Anolis sagrei: one gene and its partners. The protein of the gene in region 4 interacts with the protein of the main gene of each other region in a pairwise test. Links are inferred from orthologs where the notes say so. Each region holds a gene or a part of one and is shown on either strand. Other genes may lie near its edges.

The links.
Region 1: the proteins of PPFIA1 (region 4) and PPP2R5D interact in binary tests that used the Homo sapiens proteins (3 or more experiments, as listed by UniProt). The link is inferred for Anolis sagrei from reciprocal best matches to the Homo sapiens genes PPFIA1 and PPP2R5D.
Region 2: the proteins of PPFIA1 (region 4) and PTPRF interact in a two-hybrid assay, tested with the Homo sapiens proteins (2 studies listed by BioGRID). The link is inferred for Anolis sagrei from reciprocal best matches to the Homo sapiens genes PPFIA1 and PTPRF.
Region 3: the proteins of PPFIA1 (region 4) and CCNH interact in binary tests that used the Homo sapiens proteins (3 or more experiments, as listed by UniProt). The link is inferred for Anolis sagrei from reciprocal best matches to the Homo sapiens genes PPFIA1 and CCNH.

The regions. Positions count from the first base shown.
Region 1 is NC_090021.1:24,509,465-24,516,335, reverse strand, and holds the start of PPP2R5D (serine/threonine-protein phosphatase 2A 56 kDa regulatory subunit delta isoform), read right to left. Parts: upstream 3,013-6,871; 5' UTR 2,986-3,012; coding exon 2,905-2,985; intron 2,733-2,904; coding exon 2,616-2,732; intron 1-2,615. UniProt on the Homo sapiens protein: The B regulatory subunit might modulate substrate selectivity and catalytic activity, and might also direct the localization of the catalytic enzyme to a particular subcellular compartment.
Region 2 is NC_090024.1:182,583,720-182,590,828, reverse strand, and holds the start of PTPRF (receptor-type tyrosine-protein phosphatase F), read left to right. Parts: upstream 1-4,107; 5' UTR 4,108-4,363; exon of another isoform or gene 4,364-4,371; intron 4,372-7,109. UniProt on the Homo sapiens protein: Possible cell adhesion receptor. It possesses an intrinsic protein tyrosine phosphatase activity (PTPase) and dephosphorylates EPHA2 regulating its activity.
Region 3 is NC_090022.1:258,125,239-258,132,852, reverse strand, and holds the start of CCNH (cyclin-H), read right to left. Parts: upstream 3,009-7,614; 5' UTR 2,927-3,008; coding exon 2,810-2,926; intron 1-2,809. UniProt on the Homo sapiens protein: Regulates CDK7, the catalytic subunit of the CDK-activating kinase (CAK) enzymatic complex. CAK activates the cyclin-associated kinases CDK1, CDK2, CDK4 and CDK6 by threonine phosphorylation.
Region 4 is NC_090021.1:267,212,258-267,220,160, reverse strand, and holds the start of PPFIA1 (liprin-alpha-1), read right to left. Parts: upstream 3,010-7,903; 5' UTR 1,988-3,009; intron 1-1,987. UniProt on the Homo sapiens protein: May regulate the disassembly of focal adhesions. May localize receptor-like tyrosine phosphatases type 2A at specific sites on the plasma membrane, possibly regulating their interaction with the extracellular environment and their association with substrates.

The DNA of each region.
Region 1 (6,871 bases), about 240 Mb from region 4:
GCGACTCTCCAGAGACAAATGAAAGCAGCCACTGAGCAGCAGCAGGAGAACTGTATAAGCTACAAACCCCTCTAAAAGGTTCAGGAGAAAGAAATCAAAGAGACTATCGTGACCATTTATATATCAGCTGCATCCACACTGCAGAATTATAGCAGCTTGAAATCACATTAACTGCTATGGCTTCATGAAATGGAATTCTGGAATGTGTAGTTTTGTGAGATATTTATCCTTCTCGGTCAGATAATTTTGGTGACACAACAAACTACAAATCCCAGGATTCCATACGATGGAGCCTTGGCAGTGGAAGTGTCAAACTACTATAATTCTGCAGTGCACATGGTCTCATACTCAATTGTAATACACCTGTTGCATACCCTACCTGTAGTAAAGATGTAGTATTATATTTAGCATTGATACAGAATGCTGTAGTATTCCTTTCACTACAAGCTGAAGAAAAGAACAAATATTCTGATCTTTTGTGCTCTGCAGATATAGATAAGAGATATTAACAATTACTTGAGTTTCAGCAGCAACGGGGGTGGAATCTAACACCTTGCTATTCATGCGCAGACTATGAAAGAAAGTCTGCAAAATGCTACTCCTCTGTGTCACAATCAATTATCTCAGTATGTCTCTTTTAAACCATGCCCCATTCCTTGAATTTATTTGCCACTAAAACTGCATGCCACTTGGTCCTTTAGTAACTAGCATATAAACAAACTATTGGACCAGACTGCTCTTTTATGTTCCTTTAACTTTCCACAGGTTTTTGCTCTCACTCTACTTAATTATATCTCCCATGAGATGCAAACAATTCATAATAATTCAGTATGATTCCCATATATCCAGGACTGCAACCTGTGGTTTCATTTACCAATCTCTAACAAAATATGTCCTTTCCAAGATTCTCGAGGTGGTGCACTGGAAGTTGACCAAAGTTATGCTAGAGAACTGAGCAATGCCTAAATTTGACCTTTCTGACCATTTTCTAGGTCCTCTAGCATACTTCTGCTATAAGTTATATATAAAGTTGTTTATTATTATTATTATTATTATTATTATTATTATTATTATTATTATCTCCAGCTCATTCCTTGTTTAGGTATCAGCCAGCACATCAACGACTTAAATAAAGAAATATTTTTCTAAGATCTACAGAGACACTTGCTGGAACACCCCAACAAGTGAGAGTCCAAAAGTGGCAGGCTCAAACCCAGAACCTCAATCAATGGCTGATACCAAATGAGGGACTCCCCCCTGGGCACACAAAAAACTGGCCAACTTGGAAGGCGCTGAACAGACTGTGTTCTGGCACCACAAAATGGGTTTCCCAGTTGGGAAAATTCTTGTCTGCTGGAGCTAGGTGTGAATGTTTCACCTGACCACCTTGATTAGCATTTGATGGCCTGGCAGTGCCTGGGGCAATCTTTTGTTGAGAAGTGATTAGATGCCCTTGATTGTTTCCTCTCTGTTGTTTTGCTGTTGTAATTTTAATTGTTTTAATTTGATTAGCATCAAATGCTAATCAAGGTGGTCAGTTGAAACATTCATACCTAGCTCCAACAGACAAGAGTTCTTTGTCCCACCCTGGTCATTCCACAGATATATAAACCCATTTTCCTAGTTTCAACAACCTCACTACCTCTGAGGATGCTTGCCATAGATGCAGGCGAAATGTCAGGAGAGAATGCCTCTAGAACATGGCCATATAGCCCGATAAAACCTACAACAACCCAGTGATTCTGGCCATGAAAGCCTCCGACAATAAACTCTGAATTGCTACCATAATTAGGTTGTGATCTTAACAGTTTATGATCTATATACGCCAATGGACAGCAATCCTGACAGGTCATGATCTATTGTCCTCCATAAATACAGGGATTCCAAAATCTAAAATACTTCTGGTCCTAAGCACTTCAGGTAAGAAATACTCAACCTAAACTATAGCAGTGGCAGGGAATCAAGTGCCTGGAAGATCTTATAAGCATGGAGTATTTCTGCATATCCACTACTTCATTAGAGACTTCTGAAATATATTCTAGGAGGTCCCAATACAACTCTCTACCCTCCAGTTACCCACCCCTCATTATAAATTTGTTATTGAGTTCAGTTGCTAACTCTAAAAATCCTGAAATTTATTTATTTGTTTATTTATTATTAGGAGCATCTCTATCCCGTCCTTCTCACTTCCAAAGAGGGACTCAGGACGGCTACCAACAGGCACCATTCAGTGCCAAACAATAAAAACAAAGCATAATATACATTTAGCATACATTAAAACAATTATAAATGCATTAAGACATGCCACAAATCCTCTCATCTTTTAGACTACTGGTTGGATCTGTATACTCACAGACGTGCACACACTTGTTGTTTTAAGAAGAAACAAATGCATCAACAATACACATTTGCTTCCAGGCAAGCTAACTAAGCACTTTCACGGTGCAATCCTACATACACGTCTACTCAATACGCAACAGTTGCTGCTCCCAACCCCACCCTGAAAAAAATTATGTTCAAAAACAGACACTTCCTGCTAATCAGTTTTAATTTAACTCAATGTTAACCGGTATATAATGCACAACATATAATCCTTTGCAGAATAAGTATCCTACCTCTTCTGAATTTTCTGTGCTGCCATCTTTCCCGGTCCCACTGCTGCCACTACCACTGCTGCTGCTGCTGCTGCTGCTACTAGCTTTTGTAGTGCTTTTGGTCGATTTTGGAGGGTCCTGGAGGATGAAACGAAAGAGAAACACAAAGAAGAGAAAGAGCATTTACAGATGAGTTGCTCCATTAAGGACTTATTACGGTTCACGTCCAAATGAGACAAATATTGTGAAACTGGAATTCCAGTGACCACAAAAAACGACATTTCCCCCAGGAACAACTTCGATAGCATACCATGCTCCACAAGTGGCTGCCCGAGAGGGATGTTCTTCCCAGGACAAGAGAAAGGTCTCTGTACAGAAACACACTGAGCATCCTCTAAGCAGCGCCCCTGGCCTGATCCATTCTCTTTCCCTTCTGAAAAGGCATCTGACTTCTTAAGCCCACCCCTTCCCTCCCACTGAATGGGGGAAACCACCCCTTTAACTGCAAAGGAATACAACCCTTTGAAGAGCTCTCCAGCCTCTGCTAACTGCTCCTTGGAAGGAAAAGGACTTATGTGTCAAACCAAGGACATGCTGGGAAGGAAGGAAGCTATTATTTAGGCAATGTAGATCCAGAGAAAGGTCAGGGAATAAACTAAGGAAGCTGCGACGTATCACCTGTAGTGAGCAGCTAAAAAGCCAATGGGATTTTTTAGCTGCTCAGATAGGAATATAGTGATCAGTGCTTCTCAACCTGCGGGTCCCAGATGTTTTGGCTTACAACTCCCAGAAATCCCAGTTTACCAGCTGTTAGGATTTCTGGGAGTTGAAGGCCAAAACATCTGGGGACCCACAAGTTGAGAACCACTGGTCTAGATCAAGGAAAGTCATGGTGCCCCTCTATTCAGCTTTGGTTAGATCTCACCTAGAATAGTGGCTTCTCAACCTGTGAGTCCCCAGGTATTTTGGCTTACAACTCCCAGAAATCCCAGTTTACCAGCTGTTAGGATTTCTGGGAGTTGAAGGCCAAAAACATCCGGGGACCCCAGGTTGAGAACCACTGGTCTAGATTAAGAGAAATCATGGTGCCCCTCTATTCAGCTTTAGTTAGACCTCACCTAGAAGAGTGTGTCCAGTTCTGGGCAACACAGTTTTAAAGAGATATCAACAAACTGGAAGGTGTCCAGAAGAGGGCAACTAAAATGATCAAAGATCTGGAGCATCTTGAACTGGGTATGTTTAGCATGCAGAAGAGAAGGTTGAGAGGAGACATGATAACCATGTATAAATATGTGAAAGGGAGTCATAAGGAAGAGAGAGCACAATTGTTTTCTGTTGCCCTTGAGACTAGGACTCTGAGCAATGGGTTCAAATTATAGGAAAAGATATTCCACCTGAACATTAGGAAGAACATATTGACTGCACAAGCTGTTCAATAGTAGAACTCTCTGCCTTGGAGTGTAGTGGAAGCTCCTTCCTTGGAAACTTTTAAACAGAGGCTGGATAGTCATCTGTCAGGGATACTCTGTGATTTCCTGCATGGTAGGAGATTGGACTAGATGGCCTCTGTCAGTGGTTCTCAACCCGTGGGTCCCCAGATGTTTGGCCTCCAACTCCCAGAAATCCAAACAGCTGGTATATTGGCTGGGATTTCTGGGAGTTGTAGGACTAAACACCTGGGGATCCACAGGTTGAGAACCCCTGGCCTATGTGGTCTCTTCCAACTCTATTACTCTACCTGTGAGTAGAAGAGACAGTCCATGAGAGGACAAAGCAAAGTCCTGGAAGGCTGAAGTTAAGTCAGGCAGGTTTAGCCACAAAAGGGTAGGAATTTCAAGGTGAGGGAGGTTCCTATCTAGCCTATAAAAAGTAGCAGAATTCTTTACTCTACCTTTCCCAACTGGGATGCATCTATATTGTAGAATTATTGCAGTTTGCCATGGTTCAATGCTACAGCAATCATGGGATTCGTAAAGCTAAACCTCCCATTATCCTACAGCATTGAGCCATGGCAGTTAAAGTGTGTCAAACTGCTTTAATTCTACAGTGTAGATGCACCTTCAGGGACCTCTTCTGGGTATTATCATAACTCTTATTTATCCCACATCTAACATATCTGAATGGAAGTTGGCGAAGAATGAATGAAAAGGAAACTAAACCCTGAAATCTACTTCAAAGATCACTTCCTCGTGGTAAGTTACTTATGATCTGCTAGCAAGCTAACTAGTTTGAATCCCATGACACACTTGGGTGACCATGAATCAGAAAAAAATTAAGGATTTGATGGGACTTATCCTTAGGTCAGTTTGTAAGTCAAGGCGAAATGAACTCTAACACCACTTTAGTAAATACACCTGACAACTTCTGAGGATGCCTGCCACAGATGTGGGCAAAATGTCAGGAGAGAATACTTCTGGAACATGGTCAAACAGCCCAGAAAACTCACAGCAACACAGTAAGCAATGTTATCCATACTTTGCAGGAAATCGTAGGGCCCGTGTAATGTTATATCCTGGAAATATGGGACTATTACACTCTAATATTCACCTATAGTTGTTTATTCATAATGATAATGCATGTGGTGCCATGGATTCGCACAGGCAATCAAGTGCAACCCTGTTCATACATGCTCCTATGTTTCATAACACATCTCCCCATATACAAAAGTAAAACATAGGGAGATCCCTTACAACAACTCAGACCTTGATCCATCTAGTTTAGCAGTGTCTACTAAAACCTGGAAGAAGCTGCCAGTCAGTCTAGACTCTCCAGGGTTTTCAGCAGGCTTATTTCCAGCCTCATCTGACAAAATCAAATATACCACATTCTTCATTTGGAAGCATGTATTCCACCACTACTAGAAATGTTACATTCATGGCATTAGCATTCAGCATGCAAATTAAGCCCAAACAAATTCCTTTCTCTGTGTGTGTGTATATATATGTATATGTATATATTTCAATGTGCAGTACTAAGTATGAGAGCTAGTGTGAGGTAGAGGCCCGAGCATTGGAGCATAACTTGTTGTTCGACGATGGAAACCCACTGGGTGACCTTGGGCAAGTCACAATCTCTCAGTCTCAGAAGACAAAGAAAACAGTTTGACAAGCTCCCATTAGGATTGCCATACGTTGGAGAGAACTTGAAGGCCCACAATCACTTTTTGCATTATATTCTATTACACAAATATTATCATTGCATTTATTTAGATCAGTAGTTCTCAACCTGTGGGTCCCCAGGTATTTTGGCCTCCAACTCTCAGAAATACCAATCAGTTTACCAGCTTTTAGGATTTCTGGGAGTTGAAGGTCGAACCATCTGGGGACCCACAGGTTGAGAACCACTGGTTTAGATCCTCCTTTTGCCCCAGCCACGGGTCTTAAATAACAGCACATGTGGACATGTGCATTATTCTTAGGATATCTTTTGTGCTTATTCACAACTTCAGTACCTACACTCTGTGTACATCCTGCATATAGTAGCTCTGAATTTCATCTGTGAGACTCTCTATATGTTGTTACCCCTCCAACTATTTTGATTTCCCACTTTTTCAGCTCCTTTACAAACATACTGCCTTTCTTCACCTTTTCCTACTCTGTCCCCCTTTCTCCTCAGTTTACTTCAAAGTTGGGTCATGTGATTTTAATTTATGTTTTAATGCTATGATTTAATGGGTTTGGTTTTAATGTTTTTGTTTATTTACCAATATATTAATATATGGCATTGGATTGTTGCCTTTGTAAGGCCGCCATGAGTCCACTTCGAGATTGAGAAGAGCAGGATATAAATGTGGTAGATAAATAAATAAAGGTTGCAAACTCAGACCCCATCTACACTGCCATATTTGCCAATGGAGACCCCACCTACACTGCCATATAATGCAGATTGAAACTTCATTACATGTTAGTGAAGACTCATATTGCTCTGAGATCAGAATGAAGAAAGGGACCAGAAAGGTAGTTCCATCTTGTCTCCTGCACTGTGCTTATAGTATAATATAATTCAATATAATATAAAATATTGTACATAATGTAGATATTATAATGTAATACAATATACTACTACTAATAAAATGATATTATAATTATATTTTATATTAAATGTAATACTATTAATATTACAGTAGTACAATGTAATATATAATATTAATATTGTGGTATGATAATAATAATATATTGTATTTAATTTTTGCTTGTAAGCTGCTCTGAGTTCCCTTCGGGGTGAGAAGGGTAGCATATAAATGCCATAAATAAATAAATAAATAAATAAATAAATAA
Region 2 (7,109 bases), on a different chromosome or scaffold from region 4:
ATTGTCTGGAGCTTGCTTCTGCAGCTTGTTTTCTTGCTGCTGTTTGCCTTCTTTCTGGATAAACTTCAAAAATATTACTTGGCACTGTTGGGGGTTTAACGGATGAACAGTGTGGGGTCCTGCAAAATTGATTGGTTTTCACAGGATCTGTCACATTTGAGGGCACTGTGGCTCTCAGTCTCTATTTGCCATGAGATGTTGCAGGGCAAGTCCCTAGAAGATGCATTGCCTCCGTTTTGATAGGAAAAAAGGGCAGTTGTTGCTACTGTATCTGCTTGCAGTTCATAATAACTGTTTGTGATGCCATTGATGTTTAGGCATAGCCATCATTCTTGTTCCAATCTACTCATTCTGTTCTAGTGATTCTTCTCCTGCACTTTTAAAACTGGGCAAATGCAGGATCTCGTTGTTGTGTGCAACCCTGTCCTAGGACTGTCTTTGAGAGAGGTTTGCCATTTCATTCCTCTTAGGCTGTGAGACTATAAGTTGCCCAAGGTGCCCCACAATCCTAGTGCAACATTCAAACGGCACAACACTGGTTGAAGTATAGGCCACGGTGTCCAAAATCTTATTACTGTCTCCCAAAGCTTTATTTTTTACTTTATTCTCAACCTAAAAATGGAAAATAGAATGTCAGTGGACAATAAAAGAGATTTAAAGATGGGCTTAAATCTAACCTTAATAAGCATGGCATAAGCTCCAAGAACTGGGAATCCCTGGCACTTGTGTGTTCCAACTGGAAACCAGCTGTTCCTAACAGTGCCATGGCTTTCGAAGAGGCACAAATATGGGGCAAAAGGAACATGCCAAGAGGAAGAAGGTATGTCACGCAAACCATTGCTGTCACCACCTGCCATCTGGAAACCTATGTCTTGATTGTGAAAGACCATGTGGATCCAGGTCTTCACATTCACTTACAGACCCACCACCAAGACTCTACCTCTGGAAGACAATCATATTCGGCCATGAGTGATTGCCTATGAAGATGATTTGTTGTTGTTTATTCGTTCAGTCGCTTCCGACTCTTTGTGACCTCATGGACCACCCCACGTTAGAGCTCCCTGTTAGATGATAGAGGAGTAAAAATTTTTGCTGGCATTGAAGCAACCCCTCGGCATATCAGAGATAATCCATACTCCTTGATGGATTGTCACCTTAATGTGGTGAGGGGGTTTGCGTGTTCCAGTGAACCTGTGGGTGTAACCACTGGAGCCATGCACTTTTCAGGGGGCTGCAGGGGAGATTCCAGACCAAGCACAATCCGAAGACCTCAACAGCAGATCAGACAGAAGGTAACATGGTACATGTTACAATGGGTGTGAAGGTAGAAGAAGGCTGCAACAGATTGAGACGCCCCCATCATGTTAACCATGTCACTGGTTGGGACCCTCACTCTGTGAAGGCTGTGTGTTATGGGCAGTGTGCCAACCTCCACACATTTAAAGAACTCTCACACAGGTGTCTTCCAAGAACTTTGAAGGCCATCATACCCAGAAGGCCTCATCACATCCTCTTTGAATATGGTTGATGCCTCCTGCAGAATGCTGGGGTTTGTAGTTTAGGGAGGAATCTTTAACAGCCTCAGTAAACTACAAACTCCAGAATTTTGCAGAAGGCAGAAACCAGATTTAAAGTGGATTCCTTCTCTAGTGTTATAAAGTTGTCAGGCAACGAGGGATTGCTTAAGTAGAGATAGAGGGGGCCTCCAAAGAGTTTTGCCCAACTTCATACATTTAGTTGCTCTTTCTTTGTCTCCATCCATCTCTCCTTCCTTCGACTCTCTGGCTCTTTCATTTCAAAGGCAGTTAAGATGCAGATCTCTATAAAAGTGTACACTTTCGGCCCCGAGGCTCAGCAAGCCCCAACAAGCTGGAAAGTGTGTGTTAACACAGTTGAAAGAAGCTTGGGTTTTAAAGACTTGCTTCGAAACCCGACATCAATGTAATTGCGATGGGTAATGGGTGCTTAAATTATTTATTTGTGGCGGCACAAAATGATGCACGTGGGGTGTGTGTGTCTTTCTGCGTGGAGCCAACACATATGTAGCTAGGAAGCCCATTCCCAGAGGAAACAGCCTCTCTTCTTGACAGAAAACTTCACAAAGCAGGCTGCTTAGTGCTTTCTCGACTTTTGTTACCTGTCTTTGGCAAGAGAGGCTTGAGCAAGGCGGAGCCCCGGCGTGTCCAGTGGGAAAGCAGCCCTGCCTCCCAGCTTGGCCTTGCAAAGGAGGAGTGGCTGAAGAAAAAAAGAAGAGAAAGAAGGGGGGGGGGAGAAAAGGTGGTGCTAGATGTGTCTGACTGGTTCCTCTTACAAATGTGCTCACCTTTCGCCTCGAAGCAGTTGGCACCTATTGCTGACGAAAATGCCATGACTCAGTGGAGGCAGCTGGAGAGGGAAAAGAGCCAGTCAAAAGGACAGTTTAACCCAGGTATAGGCCGACTTGGATCCTCCAGGTATTTTGGACTCCAACTCCCACCATTCCTAACCGCCTCAGGCTGAGGCGGTTAGGAATGGTGGGAGTTGAAGTCCAAAACACCTGGAGGCCCCAAGTTTGCCCATACCTACTTTAACTTGTCTGAATCAACCCCCTGGCAGTGCTCTCTCTCTCTCTCTGTATACAAACAGAGGCAAGGGTCAGGGTCACAAAGGTGTTTTCCCCTCCTCGCTGTAGACTAGAGAAGGCGCCCTGCGGGTTACAAAACACCAGTAATAAAAAGAGGGTGGATGGAGTAAAGGGAGAGGGAGTATGGTGTGAAAACAGAAGGCAGGCAGGCAGGCAGAGAAGAGGGGCAAAAAGGGGGGAGGGAAAATAGTTGGTGGAAAGGAGCCAGTGCTGGCTTGAGACTGAATGGTGGCCAAGCTGGTTCCAAGGGAGGGAAAGGAGGCCCCCACCTGACTCGCGAGGAAAGATGGCTTTTGAAAGGGGATCCCAGGCTTTCCACGCGCAGGAGGGAGGGAGGAAGGAAGGAAGGCAAGAAGGAAGGATGAAGGAAGGAAGGAAGGCAGGCAGGCATGCAGGCAAGAAGGAAGGAAGGAAGGAAGGAAGGAAGGAAGGAAGGAAGGAAGGAAGGACGGAACGAAGGAAGGAAGGAAGGAAGGAAGGAAGGAAGGAAGGAAGGCAGGGAGGGAGGGAGGAAAAAGATAGGGAAGGAAGGAAGACAGGGAAGATGGATGGATGGGAGGAAGGAAGGAAGGAAGGCAGGCAGGCAAGAAGGAAGGAAGGGAGGAAGACAGGAAAGATGGAAGGGAGGGAGGGAGGAAGGCAGGCAAGAAGGGAAGGGAGGGAGGGAGGAAGGCAGGCAAGAAGGAAGGAAGGCAGGCAGGCAGCCTGAGCAGCAGGTTTCCCCGGCTGGAAATGGGTTTCCCTTCCCTGTAAAAAAGGGGCGGGGGGGGGGGGAGGGAAAAAAAAAAAAGAGAGAGAGAGAGAGAGGAATGCGTGTTAGCGAGACCCTGGAAAGGTGAGGCGCGCGGGAAGGGGGGGGGGAGTGTGTATAGGTGTCTATACAATCCGCATTTATGTACATATGCAAAAGAGGACCCATAGAATTGGTGTAGAGAGAACACAACTCTTCTATTATTATTATTATTATTATTATTATTATTATTATGTATTGAAGGCAAGCGCTTGTGTGTGTGTGTTTGGGTGGGTGGGTGAGCGCGCGCTCTCAATCTGGAGATTGAGAGAAAGAAGGAAGGAAGGAAGGAAGGAAGGAAGAAGAGATGAATGGAGCTGGTGGTGGTGGTGGTGGTGCGCGCGGGGGTCGCTCCAAGGAACGCAGAAGGTGACGGGAAAGAGAAAGAAGACGAAAGGAAGCAAAAAAAGGGGGAAAGAGAAAGCCCAAGGTAGCAGGTGGGAGGGAGGGGGGGGGGAGAAGAAAGAGAGAGAGGGAGGGAGGAGGGAAAGGAGGGCTCTGCGGGCGGGCTGCTGGGTTGGCTGGCTGGCTTGCTGAGTGAGGGAGTGAGTGAGTGAGTGGCCTCGGGAGCGCGCGGCGCGTCCCCGCTCCAAAGGCGGCTGTGGCGCTGCTGGCGGCTCTTTCTTTAGTCAGTGGAAAGAGAGAGAGAGAGAGGAGAGCGTGCGCATTGCGTGGTCGCGCGCGCAGAGGGAGTGAGTGCGCGCGAGCGAGAGAGAGTGCGCGCGCGTGCTTCTACCTCTCTCTCTCGCTCTCCCGCGTCCTGCGTGTCTGGAGAGCGAAGGGGCTCCGGGAGCTGCCGGCGCGTGCGGGCGGGCGAGAAAGAGAGAGCAGGAGCAAGCGAGGCATCGTGGCGGAGCCCGGCGCCGGCGGCTGGTGGGTCGGTGGGCCGGAGCTCCAGGCGAGGAGGGAGCATGCGGGCGGCGGTGGCAGCGGAGCCCCGGGCGCGCGTGGTGAGTGAGTGAGTCCTACCCTGGCTTCTCTCTCTTTCTCTTTCTCTCTCTTTTCCGCCGCCTGTTGAGTGCGCCTGGCATCCCTGCTGCTCTTGCGATTTCCCTTGGATACAACAAGAAGTTGACCCCGGATCCCTCTTGCCTTGACTTCTGGGGCGCTCGCTCCCCTCCAGGACCCCGTCGCCGCTCGGCTTGGATTGTAGGCGAAGCTTCCCTTCCTCTTCCTCTCCCTCTTCCTTCCTCCCTCCCTTCCTCCCTCCCTTCCTCCCTTCCTCTCCCCTTCTTTCATTCCTTCCTTTCTCCCTCTTCCTTCCTTCCTTCCTTCCTTCCTTCCTCTCCCTTTCCATTCTTCCTTCCTTCCACTTCTCCTTCCTTCCTTCCTTCCTTCCTTCCTTCCTCTCCCTTTCCATTCTTCATTGCTTTCTCTCCCCCTTCCTTCCTTCTTTCCTTTCTTCCTCTTCGCTTTCCTTCTCCCCCTTCCTTCCTCTCCCCCTTCCTTTCTTCCTCTAACCCTTCCTTCCTCTGCCCTTCCTTCCTTCCTCTCCTTTTCCTTCCTTCCTCTCCCCTTCTTACCTGCCTACCTGCCTGCCGCCATTCCCGCTCTCTTCCTTCCTTCCTTCCTAATCCCACCCTTCTTCTCCTTTCCCCTCTTGCCCCGACTACCTTGTCTTTCTTTTGTGCTGTTTATAGTTGACATGGCCACTTGAGGACCTGTTTGGGAACTGTTGCATGGAAAGGGCATGTGCCTTTCTTTCCCCCTCTCCCTTTGCACTTCCTGGCAGGGCATATCAACACCCCCCCTCCCCTAAAAGTCAAACCATGGCGTTGGTTGCAGATAGATCCTCATGAAAAATGCCTGGCCGAGAGCTCTCTGGGTCCCTCTTCTCTTTTCCTTGGGGAGTTTGCAACCCACCCAGAGCAAGGCTTTGCAGGGAATCAAGAAGGAAAGTGGTCGGAGTGTTTTGTTTTGTTTCCTCATACCTTGGAAAGGTAGACTACATTTCCTTTTTTTGCATATTCATTAATGCAAGTGGCCTGCTGACCTTTCCCACTGGTGGAAGACGTAATGCACACACACAACATGGGTAAGAAAAACTAGGCTGGCTGTGTATTTTTAGCCCTGATCCCTCTGCTTGGCTTTACCTGCGGTGCCTGCCTACAATCTCAGGCTTTTCTCGGCCAGGAATGTGGCCTCGCCTGCTTCTCCGCCCAGAGAGCAATGTTTAGAAACAAAAATCTTTGGATTTCCTCCCAGGTTTACCTTACAGTCTGGAAAAAAAGAGAGAGAAGCAAAGGACTCTAGGAGCAGCCCTTGAAACCAGATGCTTTGCTCCATGCCAACTCCCCCCCCCCCTATTTTTTTTTTAATTCAAAAGACAAACCAATATTGTTTTGGGGCTTCCCTCCCCCCCCCCATCTTTTCTTACCCTCCTTCTCTTCCCTTCGCTTTGTTCTTTTTGACTGCAGATTGATGGAAAGGAATGAGAGGAGGGGAGAACAACAATGAGCTTCTTGGCTTTGCTGGAACTGGTTTGTGGTTTTGGTCTCACAGGCTGGTTTAGAAAGGTGCCTTTTTCACTTCAAAGTCTGAAAAAAACGTGGCATTGGAAAAACATCAGAAAGACAATCAATATTATTATAATATAATATAATATAAAAACTCCACTTGCCTATTTTCCAACACATCACAGCCTCTGAGGATGCTTGCCATAGATGTGGGTGAAACGTCAGGAGAGAATGCTTCTGGAACATGGCTATACAGTCTGGAAAACTCACAGCAACTCATTATTATTATTATTTGCTTCAACAGTTGGTTGTTTGCATTTTGCCACTTTGCTTCAAAAATAATAAAAACAGCACTCCCTAAAATTTTGGGGAGCTTTGTGATTTCTTAGGATTTGGCTATTGTGTTGCTCGGATTCAGGTTTCCGTTCCTGGGGGAAAAAATGTTTGCGGACAAAAAAGAAACAGGAGGCAGCCATGTTAAATAGTCCGTTGGCAGTGAGGATTAATTACCGGGCAAAGTTTCTCTACATTGTGAGTGTGTCAGGTGTTGGGGACACAACCACCGTGGCGTTTTTGTATAGAATGGAAACAGTGGAAGGTTCCTCCTTGGAGAACAGCCCTGCCACTGTAAATTCTCCTTATTCTTTTTGCTTGAATATGCTTGTGAGCAAGATTTAAACTTTTGCCCCCTGTTGGACTGGCAGGAATGCTTTAAAGGAGAAGAAAAGGGCCCTTTTAAAATGCAAATAGTGTAGGCACTTTGTCAGCCGGCTCCCACTCAACCTGTTGGTTCCTTTTAAAGCGATGACTGGCAGATTGCATGAAATCCCAATACTGCTTCTGAATATCAGGATCGAGAGTCACAGTTTTAGTCTTACACTTCCCCTTCAAAAAAATAATAATATCCTTTTGTTGTTATTATAAGGCTGTGCAAGAAATGAAATACAGGATACATTCATAAAAATGAGTGTACTGCACTGACTGAAATATTAATCATAATAATAATCTTTATTTGTACCCCGCCACCATCTCCCCAAAGGGACTCGGGGCAGCTCACAGAAGCACTCCCAAGTACCATGTGCAGACAACAATACATAAATATAAATACAATGACATAAGTATAATCAACGGCACATAAAAATCTCATTGACAAAATTACAAAATTTTGAAAATTATAGAATTCCTAAAAGAAGGAAATAATGAATGTGTGGAACTCATGGTTATTTCCGAGCCCCCGGTG
Region 3 (7,614 bases), on a different chromosome or scaffold from region 4:
ACTTATGAGATATAAATATTAAGCATTAAAAACATTTAAAACGAATTGCAATTATTGTGTAGACTCAGTAATGAAATAGTACATTTCGCTAAACTCAGTGTGAATATTGCATGCAGATCCCAGTAAGGTGGCCTTCTGCAGATGGTAATTTTGTCAGCGCCGATTGTGTTTAAGTGCAGGCCAAGGTCTTTAGGCACTGCACCCAGTGTGCTGATCACCACTGGGACCACCTTGACAGGCTTGTGCCAGAGTCTTTGCAGTTCGATGTTTAAATCCTCATATCGTGTCAGCTTTTCCACTTGTTTCTTTTCAATCCTTCTGTCACCTGGGATTGCAACATCAACAATCCATACTTTGTTTTTTAACACAACCGTGAGGTCAGGAATACTGTGCTCCAAAAACTCTGTCAGCCTGAATTTGGAAGTCCCAGAGGAGTTTGGCGTGTTCATTCTGTAACTTTTTCTGACTTGTGATCCCAGCACTTCTTTGTTGCAGGCAGACAGTATTTGTGACACAAGTTCCAATGAATCACCCGAGCAATGGTGTTATGCCTCTGCTTGTATTCTGTCTGCATGATCTTCTTGCAGCAGCTGAGGATGTGATCTATTGTTTCATCTGCTTCCTTGCAGAGTCTACATTTGGGATCTGTTGCTGACTTTTCAATTCTGGCTTTGATGGCATTGGTTCTAATGGCTTGTTCTTGGGCTGCCAGGATCAGGCCCTCCGTCTCCTTTTTCAAAGTTACAATTGTGAGCCACATCCATGTTTTTTCTTTGTCTATTAGGCTTTCAATTTTTCCCAGGAACTGTCCATGGAGAGCCTTCTTTTGCCAGTTTTTTCTTCTGCTCTGGATTGTGTTTTTACGGTATTCACTTTTCACTTTTGCACTTTAAGCAGTTTACTACTATTGACTTCCCTCAATTATTATTAATTATTATTATTATTATTTTACTGACACAAAGCACAGTATGACACAGCAAACAAAATCTCTATGCTGGATTTCATATCACGAAATCACAAGTCGAACACTTCCCAAACGTCTAGGACTGTGTGATATACTTTTGAATGATGTGTGCAGATCCAAGTAAGTTGGCCTTTTGTAGTTGACAGATAATGATTTTGTCGATGTTTATTGTTTCCAAATGCCGGCTGAGATCTTTTGGCACAGTGACCAGTTTGCCAATTACCACTGGGACCACCTGTACTGGCTTATGCCAGAGCCTTTGCAGTTTGATTTTGAGGTCGTGATAACAGTTGATTTTTTCCTGTTTTTCCTCAATGCCACTGTCACCCAGTATGGCGACATCAATAATCCAAACTTTTTTCCTTTTCCACAATCGTAATGTCTGGTGTATTGTGTTCCAAAACTTTGTCAGTCTGGATTTGAAAGTCCCACAGTATTTTTGCGTGTTCATTTTCCACTACCTTTGCAGGTTTATGTTCCCAGCAATTCTACTACTATTGAATTCCATCAATGTTGGTTCTTCACTGCCTTTCAAATAATCTGCCAGTGCATGTTTCTCTTCTTCTACCATTTGTTTCACTTGCAGAAGCCCTCTGCCTCCTCATTTTCTGGGCAGGTAAAGTCTGTCGACATCATTCCGCGGGTGTAAAGAGTAGTGGATTGTCATCAGTTTTCTTGTTTTTCTGTCCAGATCATCCAGCTCTGCTTCTGTCCAGTTCACAATTCCAGCAGTGTATCTAATGAAGGGGATGGCCCAGGTGTTGATAGCCTTGACTGCATTTCTGCTATTTAGTTTACTCTTCAAAACCTTTCTGACTCTTTGGACATATTCTTTGCATTGGCATTTTTCACATGCCAATGCTTTATATTGTCCAACTGATTGTACTGTGGTTAATGTATTGTCGAAGGCTTTCATAGCTGGAATCACTAGGTTCTTGTAGGTTTTTTCGGACTATAGGGCCATGTTCTAGAGGCATTTCTCCTGACGTTTCGCCTGCATCTATGGCAAGCATCCTCAGAGGTAGTGACGTCTGTTGGAAATAGGAAAATGGATTTATATATCTGTGGAATGACTGGGGTGGGGAAAAGAGCTCTTTGCTGAAGCTAGGTGTGAATGTTTCAGCTGACCACCTTCATTAGCATTTGAAGGCCTGGCTGAGCCTGGGAAAATGTTCTGTTGAGAGGTGTTAAGATGTGCCTGGTGGTTTCCTCTCTGCTGTTTTGCTGTTGCAATTTTAGAGACTGGTAGCCAGATTTTGTTCATTTTCATGGTTTCCTCCTTTCTGTTGAAATTGTCCACATGCTTGTGGATTTTAATGGCTTCTCTGTGTAGTCTGACATGGTGGTTGTTGTACTGTGGTTGTTTTTATGATGCTAGCATCGTATGATGCTTTTGTTAGGCCGCCCTGAGCCTCCTTTTGGGGGGAGTAGAGCGGGGTATAAATATAGGAAATAAATATAGGAAATAAATTGTAGTATGGCCAGATATTGATAGGCTTCAGGCTTTATGGTTTGTCCGTTCCGCATCTCTATACCCTCGCTGTGTGTAATTTTAACTTACTTTACTGCCACTGTGGCACATTTGTCCAGACAGAACCCTATTATTATTATTAATAATAATAATATTATTATTATTATTGACACCACTTTGAACTGCCCTGGCTCCATGCTATGGGATTCTGGGAATTGTAGTTTGGTGAGGCAGAGAAGGCCCAAGGCCTTGCAAACTAACTGCAAGTCTAGTAATTCCACAGCATGGAGCCAGGGCAGTTCAAAGTGGTGTCAAACCGCATTCATTCTGCAGTGTGGACGCAAGCCATCCACCACCCCGCTCCCTACCCTCACCTTCCCATTGGACACCGCTTTGCAGCGGAACTTGCGGTTGGCATCGGCCCGGCGCCGGGTGAGCTCCTCCTCGGAGCGGAAGGTCCAGCGCCGCCTCTGCGTGCTGCTCTGGTACATCCCGGCGCTCTCCTTCCTCTTCGTCCCGTCATGCCCCGCGCGGAGCCGCACGCGGATCTTTCCCCGCTAGCGCGCACTGTCACGTGACATCACTGCGCGCTTAAGGTCAAAGAGATCGAGCCAGACCAAAGCGTGAGACTCCCGAGGAAGCCATATGCGTGGAAAGAGTGGGAGAGGGTTCCTCAACACCAGGCATGCGCAAACTTCGGCCCTCCCTCCAGCTGTTTGTGAATTGAAGTCCACCTGAGAGGAGGGCTGAAGTCCCAGCATTCTCCTCTTTCCAGCCTATGGCTAAAATTGGAATGATGTTCAACATAGTACCGGAAGTGTAGGGTTGTAGCTTTCCTTGCCTCTAGAAGAGACGCCTTTGTGGAGGATAGTAAGACCAAAGAGGTAGAAACAAGAAGATGGGAACATAGGTATCGATTCGGGTTCCCATTTGAAGGCCAGTTAGGTGTATAATAGAGAATGTAGCGCAGACATAGGCAAACCTTGGCCTTCCCTCCAGGTGTTTTGGACTTCAACTCCCACAATTCGGCTGTTAGGAATTGTGGGAGTTGAAGTCCAAAACACCTGGAGGGAAGGCCAAAGTTTATCCATGCCTGATGTAGAGCGAGTTCTAAATATACATTCATATTTTGGAGATGGAGCTAAAAGCCTAAACACAGTCTATATAAACAACAACCAGGCACATCTTAACACCTCTCAACAAAAGATTTTCCCAGGCTCAGCCAGGCTTTCAAATGCTAATGAAGGTGGTCAGTTGAAACATCCACACCTAGCTCCAGCAGAGAAGAGCTCTTTGCCCCACCCCAGCCATTCCACAGATATATAAACCCATTGTCCTAATTCCAACAGACCTCACTACCTCTGAGGATGCTTGCCATAGAAGCAGGCGAAACGTCAGGAGAAATGCCTCTAGAACATGGCCCTATAGTCCGAAAAAACCCACAAGAACACAGTCTATATATATGTGTGTGTGTGTGTGTGTTTCATACCCACCTTATCATGCGATGTGCGGGACTTGATGAATGCAAGGCCAGGGTTAAAATTGCTGGAAGAAACATTAACAACCTTAGATATGCAGATGATACCACTTTGATGGCCAAACCGAGCAGGAACTGATGAGCCTTCTAATCAAGTTGAAAGCACAAAGTGCAAAAGCTGGGTTGCAGTTAAACATTAAAAAAACCCAAGATTATGGCAACAAGACTGATTGATAACTGGGAAATAGAGGGAGAAAACGTGGAGGCAGTGACAGACTTTGTATTTCTAGGTGCAAAGATTACTGCAAACGCAGACTACAGCCAGAAAATCAGAAGACCCTTACTTGAGAGGAGAGCAATGACCACTCTCGATAAAATAGTGAAAAGTAGAGACATCACACTAGCAATGAAGATCCGCATAGTTAAAGCAATGGTATTCCCTGTAGTAACCTACGGATGTGAGAGCTGGACCTTAGGGAAGGCTGAGCAAAGGAAGATAGATGCTTTTGAACTGTGGTGTTGGAGGAAAGTTCTGAGAGTGCCTTGGACTGCGAGAAGATCCAACCAGTCCATCCTCCAGGAAATAAAGCCCAACTGCTCACTGGAGGGAAAGATAGTAGAGGCAAAGTTGAAGTACTTTGGCCACATCATGAGAAGACAGGAAAGCTTAGAGAAGACAATGATGCTGGGGAAATGGAAGGAAAAAGGAAGAGGGGCCGACCAAGGGCAAGATGGATGGATGTTATGCTTGAAGTGACTGGCTTGACCTTGAAGTAGCTGGGGTGATGATGGCTGACAGGGAGCTCTGGCATGGGCTGGTCCATGAGGTCATGAAGAGTTGGAAGCGACTGAACGAATGAACAACAACAAAGTAGTTAAACAAGGAAGGGAAAAGGGCTGTGAATCTCCTGTCTTTAGGCTAAACAGAAGGAAAGTTAAAGCAGGGAGGACCTCAGAAGGTAAAAAAAGAGGGCAGGCTTTGGAATAAGTAGCAGATATGTCTATTGTAAGGTTATGAGGATATGTCAAGGATTATAACAATAACCCATATATTCCTGGTCACTCCATTCAAACAAGAAATGTGCACGCATGGCACTAAGACACAATATCTAGGTTATGGGTGTATCTACACTGCAGAAGTAATGCAGTTTGACACTACTTTAACTGTCATGGCTCAATACTGTAGTCATGAATATTTTATCTTAGAATAATATGATAATAATACGGTTCTGGCCCAGCTTACCTGTCTGAACATATCTCCCCCTATGACCCATCGCAAAGTCTAAGATCAATGAGGGAGGCCTTGCTCTCGGTTCCACCATCCTTGCAAACGCGACAGCATTAACAAATTGTTTTAATTGCTTTCATCATTTATTACTGTTGAATGAATGCCTGTTGTGAAGCCGCCCTGAGTCCCCCTCCGGGGATGAGAAGGACAGGATACAAATATGCAAAATAAATAAATAAATGAGCTGAAAGAGTCCATAAGGGCCATCTAGTCCAACCACCTGCCATGCAAGAAAAGCACAATCAAAGCACCTCCGAAAGATGGCCATCCAGTCTGTTTAAAAGCTTCCAAGGAAAGAGCATCCACCACACTCCGACGCAGAGAGTTCCATTGCTGAAGAGCTCCTACTATCAGTAAGTTCTTTGTAATGTTCAGGTGGAATCTCCTTTCCTGTAATTTGAATCTATTGCTTCCAGTCCTAGTTTCAAGGGCAGCAGAAAACAAGCTTGCTCCCTCTTTCTTATGACAGCCTGTCACATATTTATACATAGCTATCATGTCTCCTCTCAACCTTCTCTTTTGCAGGCTAAATATTCCCAGCTCTTTAAGACACTTCTTATAGAGCATCGTCTCTAGACCTTTGATCATTTTAGTTGCCCTCCTCTGGACACCTTCCACCTTGTCAATATCTCTTTTAAACATTGTTGGCTCGTGTTCAACTTGTGGTCTACTAATTCACATGGACTGTTGTCGAGCCAGGCATCACCCATCCCGTTGTGTTATATACAATTTTAATAATTGTTTGCATGAAACAAAGTATGTGTACCTTAGACCATCAGAAAACAAAAGGAGCTCTTATCACAGCCACCTATAATAGGCAATTTTGGAGTATTTTGCAACCACTTTAACTGTCATGGCTCAGTAATGTGAAATCATATGAGTTGGTAGTTGCCCATAGTCTTTAGCCTTCTCTGTCAAAGACTGCTGGTGCTTCACCAAACTACAGCTGTCATGATCCCATATCATTGAGCTAATGCAATTACAGTCGTGTCAAACTGCATTAATTCTACATTGTGGATGCACCCCTATTGCTGCCATCTAGATCACATTGGCTTTTTTAGCTGCCATATCACATTGTTGAGTCGTATTCAGCTTGTGGTTTACTAATACCCCTAAATACCCTTCACGTGTACTGTTTTCAAGCCAGGTGTCACTCATTCTCTATCTGTGCATTTCATTTTTTTATGCCCAAAGTGTAGACATACATTTCTCCCTGTTGAAATTCAATTTGCTAGTTTTGACATGTCTCTCCAATCTATTAGAATTCTGACTCTGAGGTATTAGCTACCCCTCCTACTTTCAACTTATTGGACTGATGGCAGCCCTAAGACTGTATCACAGAATTTTGTGGCAAAATTTATTTAAAGGGATTTGTCATTGCCTTCATTTCGACTGAGAATTGTGACTAGTCCAAGATCATCTTGTGGGCTTTCGTGGCTGATCAGTGTTTCAAATTCTAATTTACTAGAGTCCTAGTCCAGCAGTTAAATTGGTACATCATACTGGCTTCTTGACATGATGTGATACAACTAAACTTTTATGAATTCATCATATTAATTTATAAGGCACTGTGTGTTGTATCCAACAATATCACTTGTGTTCAAGCAAGGGCCACTATGCATTTAAAGACTCGGCACAAGAGCAGAGTTTTATGTAACTGGTCATTCCACAATTGGTTGCGCAAGAATCTGTATGTAGAGTCTGCTGTACTACTAGAACTCCAGTACAATTAAACTAGGAAACTTTTTTCCCTGACTTCACTAAGATGGCTTTGGATCTTGACTCATATTGTATATCTCTCTGGAAGAACTTTCCCAAATCTGATACCCTCCAGATGCAGCAGACTGCAACTTTCTCCATTCCCTAACCAACATGTGTTTGAAGAGCATCAGATTGAAGAACTAATCACATAGGATTAAGTGAAAATGCTGTAAAAAGCAGTGGTGACTCTGCTTTGTGTTAGAAGCGGCTGTAGCAAATTCATTTCATAAAATTTACTAAACCATTAAAGTGGGAGGGGGGAGAGGAGGAGGAGAGAATAATACAAATAAATAAAACCTCAGTGCTTGATTTAATGGTACAGCTTTAATGAATGAATCAGAAAGATGCACCACTGAAAATTAAACTGGAAACTGAAATGTGCTAGTTAATTATGAACGGCTGAATTGCTTGTTGTGCAAATTGTCCACAGGCAGGAGAATTAGAAATGCAGTGTTAATTTTACAAGTATTGTAATCTCATTTTCATAACTAGCTGTAAAAGTTATTAATCAATTGCTCTGGCCAATCATGTGTAAAAGTTCTTTGCCTATGAAGATGTTTTATTTTGCCATTAAGCATTACATTTGCTAGAATATTTGGTCAGAACTATGAGAATAGTGGAATGGCAAAGCAAATTTGGAAGATAATGAAAAT
Region 4 (7,903 bases):
TCATGGGGCATGTAGTTTTAAAGCTCTTCAGTCTTCTCTACCAATCAGTGCTCAACAAACTACAAATCCCAGAATTCCATACCTTTGAGCCTTGGCAGTTAATATGGTGTCAAACTACACTCTAAGTGTTCCTGAATATCAACTTAGTTAACTACAGGAAAGCTTGCAATAAATGGAAAAAGGATGAGGAAGGTTTAATATAATAGTTTACAAAGCGTTATAGTCACATGTAATTATTCATATAATTTTGATAATATCTAAATGTAAACATTATTCCTAAATAGCTAAATTATTTTCAGTTTTGAGAATAAAAATCTCTATGATGTTTTGTTACATGCTATTGAAAGAAGAAGGCATGAGAAGGCATGCTGAGAAAGTACACTGGCAGAAAGTTAGTAGTCCTTAATAATGTAGTGTTCTGAAGAACATGGGAGAATGGGGCTGGGATTAATGAATAATATACACTAGATCAGTAGTACATATCTATACCTTCAAGTAGGTTCCAACCTAAGATGAGCCTAAGGTAAACTTATCATGTGGCTTCCTGAGGTTGAATCAACCAATGAATTTCCATGGCCAAGCAGGGTTTCAAACCCTGATCTCCAGCATCATAGTCCAACACTCAAACCACTACAATTTTTGGCCTCGAGGACATGGCATCAGAGGAAGAATAATAAAAGTGGAGAATTGTAAGTTAATTAAAAAGTAGTGCAGATCAAAAAGTAATGTGGTTGTATTAGTACTCCCTTTAAACTGTTCCAGGAAAGTATCAGAGGAACTGAACAAGGCCCTTGCAAACAAATAGTTGATTTTTAAAATTACAGTGATTGAAGAGGTCTCTAAACTTGAATGTAAATGTATATGTATCTGTACATTTCAGTACAACACTAGAATTCTTTTAACAACCAGAACAAATCTCAGTTTCCAAACATAGGGAGTGTTTTAATTAAAGCAAACCACGTTCAATTAAAGCCAACTATTCCAATAATGTTCTTTATCCTTCTTTAGATGATCACCATGAAACATAAGCTAGCAATTTTGCCAAGGGACCTTCCATGAGATAAATTCCACTCCCCATATGTTTATGATTCTATAGTAATGAAAATGAACTTTATAGTTAACTCTTAACAACCAGCAACAAGTAAACAAGAGTTTAAGCCACTCAGAGTCCTCTGGGGAGATGGGGTGGGATATAAATAAAGTTGTATTATTATATCATTATTACACAACACATGGAGAGTGGAATGTATTTCAAGTTATTGTTCTGGGCCCTTCCACACAGCCATATAACCCAGACTATCAAGGCAGAACATCCCACAATATCTGTTTTGAACTGGGGGCCCTTCCACACAGCCATATAACCCAGAATAGGAAGGCAGAATAACCCACAGTATCGGCTTTGAACTGTGTTATCTGAGTCCACAGCCATATATCCAAGTTCAAAGCTGATAATGTAGAATTTCATTCAGCTGTGTGGGAAGGGGGGCGTGTGGGTTATTTGAGGGCCCTTCCACACAGCGCTATATCCCAGAATACCAAGGCACAAAATCCCACATTATATGTGTGTGGACTCAGATAACCGAGTTCAAAGCAGATTTTCTGCCTTGATATTCTGGGATATAGGGCTGTGTGGAAGGGCCCTGATTCCACACTGCTATATATCTCAGTTCAAAGCAGATAATGTAGGATTTCATTCAGCTGTGTGGAAGGGGGGCGTGTGTGGGTTATCTGAGGGCCCTTCCACACAGCACTATACCCCAGAATTTCAAGGCAGAAAATCCCTCATTACATGTGTGTACTCAGATAACCCAGTTCAAAGCATATATTCTGGGATATAGGGTTGTGTGGAAAGGCCCTGAACCCACACTGCCTTATATCCCAGTTTAAAGCAGATAATGTGGGATTTTATTCAGCTGTACGGAAGGGGCCTCTCAATAACTACATTATCTGCTTTGAACTACTACAGACTTCCACTGCTTTCCTTTACCTTGCTTGAGGAAAAGAAATGGTTTTAGGAGGCCAAGGTATTTTTTCCAGCAATATCAGCTCTCTTTAGGAACTTTGCATAACGATTTCCAAGTATATTTCCAAGGGTGGAGCAGCCACCCAACCAGGCTATACAACATCCACAAAGATTCACATAAGGCAATAAATAATCCTGCTGAGGGGTAAAAAAAAAAATACTTCAACAGGAGCAGCAAATAGTCCAGTTCGCAAATGGAGACGATGAGCGCAGACTTCAGCTCGATTCCTATTTCATCCTGATCCACAGGTCTTTTAAAGAAATATACTCTTTTAAAAACACAACAACAAAGAAGCGAAGAAAGCCAGTGCGTTGTGGTTTTTTCAGTGCTTCTGGGCCAACGATGGCGAACAAACAATACACGTTACAGAGACTCCTCGCTTGAGGTCATGAGGGCAGGACTATAAAAACACAAGAGGTACAAATGAGCAGAGGCGATGAACCAAGCGGGAAGGCACTCCTCCTGTGGGGCCCTTGCTAGGCAGCTGAGGGTCCTTTCCTCCTTTCGCGTTCCCGGCTCCTCTCGGCCGCCTTTAGAGCGGTTCCTCTTTCTCCGGCTGAAGCGAGGGCATGAGGGAGGCCAGGGAGTCCGAAGGGGAAGAGGCACGGGGGCTTCTCCTCCTCCTCTCTCCCGCTCTCTCCTCCTTCCCCGGCCCTCTTCCCTGCCCGAGGAGTGAGTGGGTGAGGGTCCGGGGCGGGCTCCTGAGGAGACGAGGCCCAGGCCGGCGCTCCGCCCCCTCCACGTCCGAGCAGCCAGGTCTCCCGCCCGAAGGAAGGGGCTGCCTCCGTCCCGCGGCGGTGGCGGCGGCTTGGGCCCGGGAGAGGCCGCTCTGGGAGTCCGCCCTTGGAGCCGGAAGGGTCCCGCCGTCACTGCCTCCAGCCGGGCCCGCCGCCGCCTCCTCCTCCTTCTTCTCCTTCTCCTCCTTCGCCGCCTCCTTCGCTGTTCCTGCTCTTCCCGGCAGCCTTTGCGGCTCCTGTACACAGCCGCGCGTGGCCCACAATGCACCGCGGGAGGCGCTCCGCTCTTTCTCTCCATCCCAACCTGGCTCTCTCGCGCCTCCTCTGGCCAGGAAGCGGGATTGCACAAGGGAAGCTTTTCTTGCTGCTGGGTTGTTGTAGGTTTTTTCGGGCTATTTATTATCATTATTATTATTATTATTATTATTATTATTATTATTAATTTTATTTGTACCCCACTAGCATCTCCCGAAGGACTCGATGCGGCTAACACAGGCCAAGGCCTCAAAACACAATACAACAATACAATACCTAAAGCAAATTAAAAACAGTTAAGCAGAATAAACAACAAACAGTAAACAATACATCAAGACACTATAAAACTGGGCCGGGCCAGAGTAATGGGTGCAAGATTAAAAGTGCTGATGTGGCAGGAGGTATGTAGGATTATAAGTAAGTGCAGAGTGCAGTGTGCAGTAATCTTAGTTCTACTAAAGTGCTTCTGGGACTTGGTATTGGAGGTTCCTAATCTGAGAAGGCACATCGGAACAGCCAGGTCTTCAAGTTCTTTCTGAAGACTGCCAGTGTAGGGGCCTGTCTGAGATCTCTTGGGATGGTGTTCCAGAGTCGGGGGGCCACCACAGAAAAGGCCCTGTCTCAAGTCCCCACCAAGCGCGCTTGCGACGCAGGCGGGATCACGAGCAGGGCCTCTCCAGATGACCAAAGTGAACTTGTGGGTTCGTAGACGGAGATGCGGTCACGCAGGTAGGGTGGTCCCAAACCGTTCAGGGCTTTGTAGGTAAGCACCTGCACCTTAAATTGGGCTCGGAAGATAAACGGCAGCCAGTGGAGCTCCTTGAACAGGAGGGTTGACCTCTCTCTGTAATGGTACATGGTTAACATCCTGGCCGCTGCCCGTTGGACCAGTTGGAACTTCCAAGCCGTTTTCAAGGGCAGCCCTACGTAGAGCGCATTGCAGTAATCCAATCTAGAGGTGACCAAGGCATGGACCACCCCAGGCAGATCAGCCTTCGCGAGGTACGGTCGCAGCTGGCGCACAAGTCTTAATTGTGCAAAAGCCCTCCCATGGCCATGGTCTAGAGGCATTCTCTCCTGAAGTTTCGCCTGCATCTATGGCAAGCATCCTCAGAGGTAGTGAGTCTGTTGGAACTAGGAAAAAGGGTTTATATATCTGTGGAATGACCAGGGTGGGACAAAAGACTCTTGTCTGCTGGAGCTAGGTGTGAATGTTTCAACTGGCCACCTTGATTAGCATATAATGTCCTGACAGTGCCTAGAGCAAACTTTTGTTGAGAGGTGATTAGATGTCCTTGTTTGTTACCTCTCTGTTGTTGTGCTGTTGTAATTTTAGAGTTTTTTTAATACCGGTAGCCAGATTTTGTTCATTTTCATGGTTTCCTCCTTTCTGTTGAAATTGTCCACATGCTTGTGTATTTCAATGGCTTCTCTGTGTAGCCTGACATGGTGGTTGTGAGAGTGATCCAGCATTTCTGTGTTCTCAAATAATATGCTGTGTCCAGATTGGTTCATCAGGTGCTCTGCTATGGCTGACTTCTCTGGCTGAAGTAGTCTGCACTGCCTTTCATGTTCCTTGATTCGTGTTTGGGCAATGCTGCGTTGGTCCCTATGGTGGTCCCTATGTAGACTTGTCCACAGCTGCATGGTACACGGCAGACTCCTGCAGAAGTGAGAGGATCCCTCTTGTCCTTTGCTGAAAGTAGCATTTGTTGGATATTCTGGATTTTCTTGGTGTGATTTTCTTGCTGCTCCCCTATAGAGAGAGCGCTCATCCAGCTACACTTAAAGCCTCATCACACTGGATAAAAAATCTACTTATAAAGCCCGACTGCTCATTGGAGGGAAGAATAGTAGAGGCCAAGATGAACTACTTTGGTCACATCATGAGAAGAAAGGAAAGCTTAGAGAAGACAATGATGCTGGGGAAAATGGAAGGAAAAAGGAAGAGGCGCTGACCAAGGGCAAGATGGATGAATGGTATCCTTGAAGTGACTGGATTGACCTTGAAGGAGCTGGGGGTGGTGACGGCCGACAGGGAGCTCTGGCGTGGACTGGTCCATAAAGTCACATAGAGTCGGAAACGACAGAACGAATGAACAACAACAAAATCCGTTTCTGCCTCCTGCAGAATTCTGGGGTTTGTAGTTTAGTAAGCCTTTAACAGCCTCACTAAACTATAAACCCCAGGATTCTGCAGGAGGCAGAAACCGGATTTAAAGTGGATTCATTCTCTAATGTGATGAAGTGATTACTTTGTCGCACTAGAGCAGTGTTTCTCAGCCTTCCAAATGCTGTGACCCTTAATACAGTCCTTCTTGTTGTGCTGACCCCCAACCAGAACATTAATTTTGTTGTTGCTTCATAACTGTAATTTTGCTACTGGGTTGCTGTAAGTTTTTCGGGCTGTATAGCCTTGTTCCAGAAGCATTCTCTCCTGACGTTTCACCTCAAAACTATAGGTGCAAGCGAAACGTCAGGAGAGAATGCTTCTAGAACAAGGCTATACAGCCCGAAAAACTTACAGCAACCCAGTGATTCCGGCCATGAAAGCTTTTGACAACACAGTTTTGCTACTGTTATGAATCGTAATGAAAATATCTGATATGCTGGATATCATATATTAGTAATAATACTAATAATATTACAATATAATGGTATAGTATAATAGAGTAATATATAATTCGGAGAAGAGCAAAACACCTGAAGTTTGCCCATGCCTGTTAGACATCCTTAACCATTTATCCTTCCAGATTTTTTTGCATACATTTAGCCCTCCATATAAACACTCTTGTCAGCTCATAATTTTGTATTTTTTGTATTTTTTTAACAAATGTACATTCCTTAATATTTTATAATTCAGGATATACATCCATAGCATTTTATAATTCTGGATTATTTTATTTTGTAACCCCCAAAGCAATATGTGCACCCTTAACAGGATTAAATATTCCAATAACAGAGATGTGTTACAAAAATGCAGGAGAAACTTGGTGAGGTTTGCAACTTTATTATTTAAGATGGGATTGGTAACTAATTAAATCCCTACGGCAACATGTCTTCTTCAGTATAGAATCATTGACTTGGCCTTCAAATAATCACTTTAACTGCTGTTAGCTGTCAAAGGGTGTATACATTTTGGGGGGATGCCTTGAATTTCCTTCTGAGGGACTGCAAATAGGATTGAGAAGAAATCCCCTTTCCTCCCCTTGGGTCACAGCTAAAAGTAATCCTATCTTCTACTCTAACCTGGGAGCTATTGAAAACACCCGCTTCTGATTTAACAGCATACAGTTAAAACATGAATCCCTCATGTAAAGACTAGCACATTTTATTTGACAGATGTCTGTCTTCTCTGACAGGAGTAGATTTTTCAAGGTGCCAGGAGATTTCCTTGTTTTCGCTGCAAGATGCTAAAGATTAAACTTAGGAAAAATGCCTTTGGCTGCAAGTCACGTCACGTGTATGGTGTCCCACGACTGAGCAGGTTTGCAGAGCCTTGGGCTGTAAGATCCATCCTCTCTTTCCATTCGTTGGTGAGCATAAGGTGAATAGGTACAACTTTGCCCTGCCAATTATGTTATTTCACCAGTGTGATGTTAAGACAAGCCGCAGAAAGGGGGGCGGGTAGAAGAGGAGCAGGCATCTGGCCTGAGAAGAGCAAAGAAACCACGCTCCATAGCCTAGCCGGGGTTTCTGAGAGCTTAGCTGGAGGGGATTAACATTTTTGAGAAGCGGAGGGAGGGAATTTCAGCTGCTTGTGAGGTACTCAGTGAACAGTGTTCAGGTCTTCAAGTCCCTTCCCCCTTGTTTACTTGAGAGAGCAAATTCTATCATTGCAAATAATGCACCTAAAGATGTAGTGTTTCTATGAATACACAGGTTTAGGATCCATTATCCAAAATGCTTGTTTTGTCTAATCATAATTGAAATAATAATTTTTAACCCACCTCTCCCCATGGATCGAGGCAGGGAAAAGTGGCATCACTAGGGGATTGTAGGGGGTACAAAGCACACTGTGTGATACTATCAGAAGGGCTGGCATCAAAATGACTGTCTATAAAATGTTCATGCAAAAATTGATTATAAAATAAAAGAACATAAAATATCAATACATGTTAAAACAGCCCATAGTTTCATAATTTAAAACGTATAACTTAAAATACACACAAGTACTGGAAGCCTGATGCTATGGAAGGGTTTCAAATCTAGGGTAGGTCGTGGAGAATAGAGCAGTTAGTTTTTTTTTAAAAAAAACTAGTGGATAGTAGTCTTTTGCATTTGTACAGAATCACTATCCGTTTCAGTTGGTTTCATTTGTAAGGCCCTGTTTTCGTTTTCGAGCACCTCTCCTGAAAACGAATGCCTTTCCGAATGAGCTTTTCATTCACTAGGTTCTTGTGGGTTTTTTCGGGCTATAGAGCCATGTTCTAGAGGCATTTCTCCTGATGTTTCGGCTGCATCTATGGCAAGCATCCTCAGAGGTTGTGAGGTCTGCTGGAAGTAGGAAAAATGGGTTTATATATCTGTGGAATGGCTGGGGTAGGGCAAGGAGCTCTTCCCTGCTGCAGTTAGGTGTGAATGTTTAGCTGATCACCTTCATTAGCATTTGAAGGCCTGCCTGAGCCTGGGAAAATCTGTTGCTGGGAGGTGTTAATCTGTGCCTGGTTTTTTCCTCTCTGTTGTTTAGCTGTTATAATTTTAGAGTTTTTTAATACTGGTAGCCAGATTTTGTTCATTTTCATGGTCTCTTCCTTTTTGTTGAAATTGTCCACATGCTTGTGGATTTCAATGGCTTCTCTGTGTAGTCTGACATGGTGGTTGTTGGTGTGGTCCAGCATTTCTGTGTTCTCAAATAATATGCTGTGTCCAGGCTGGTTCATCAGG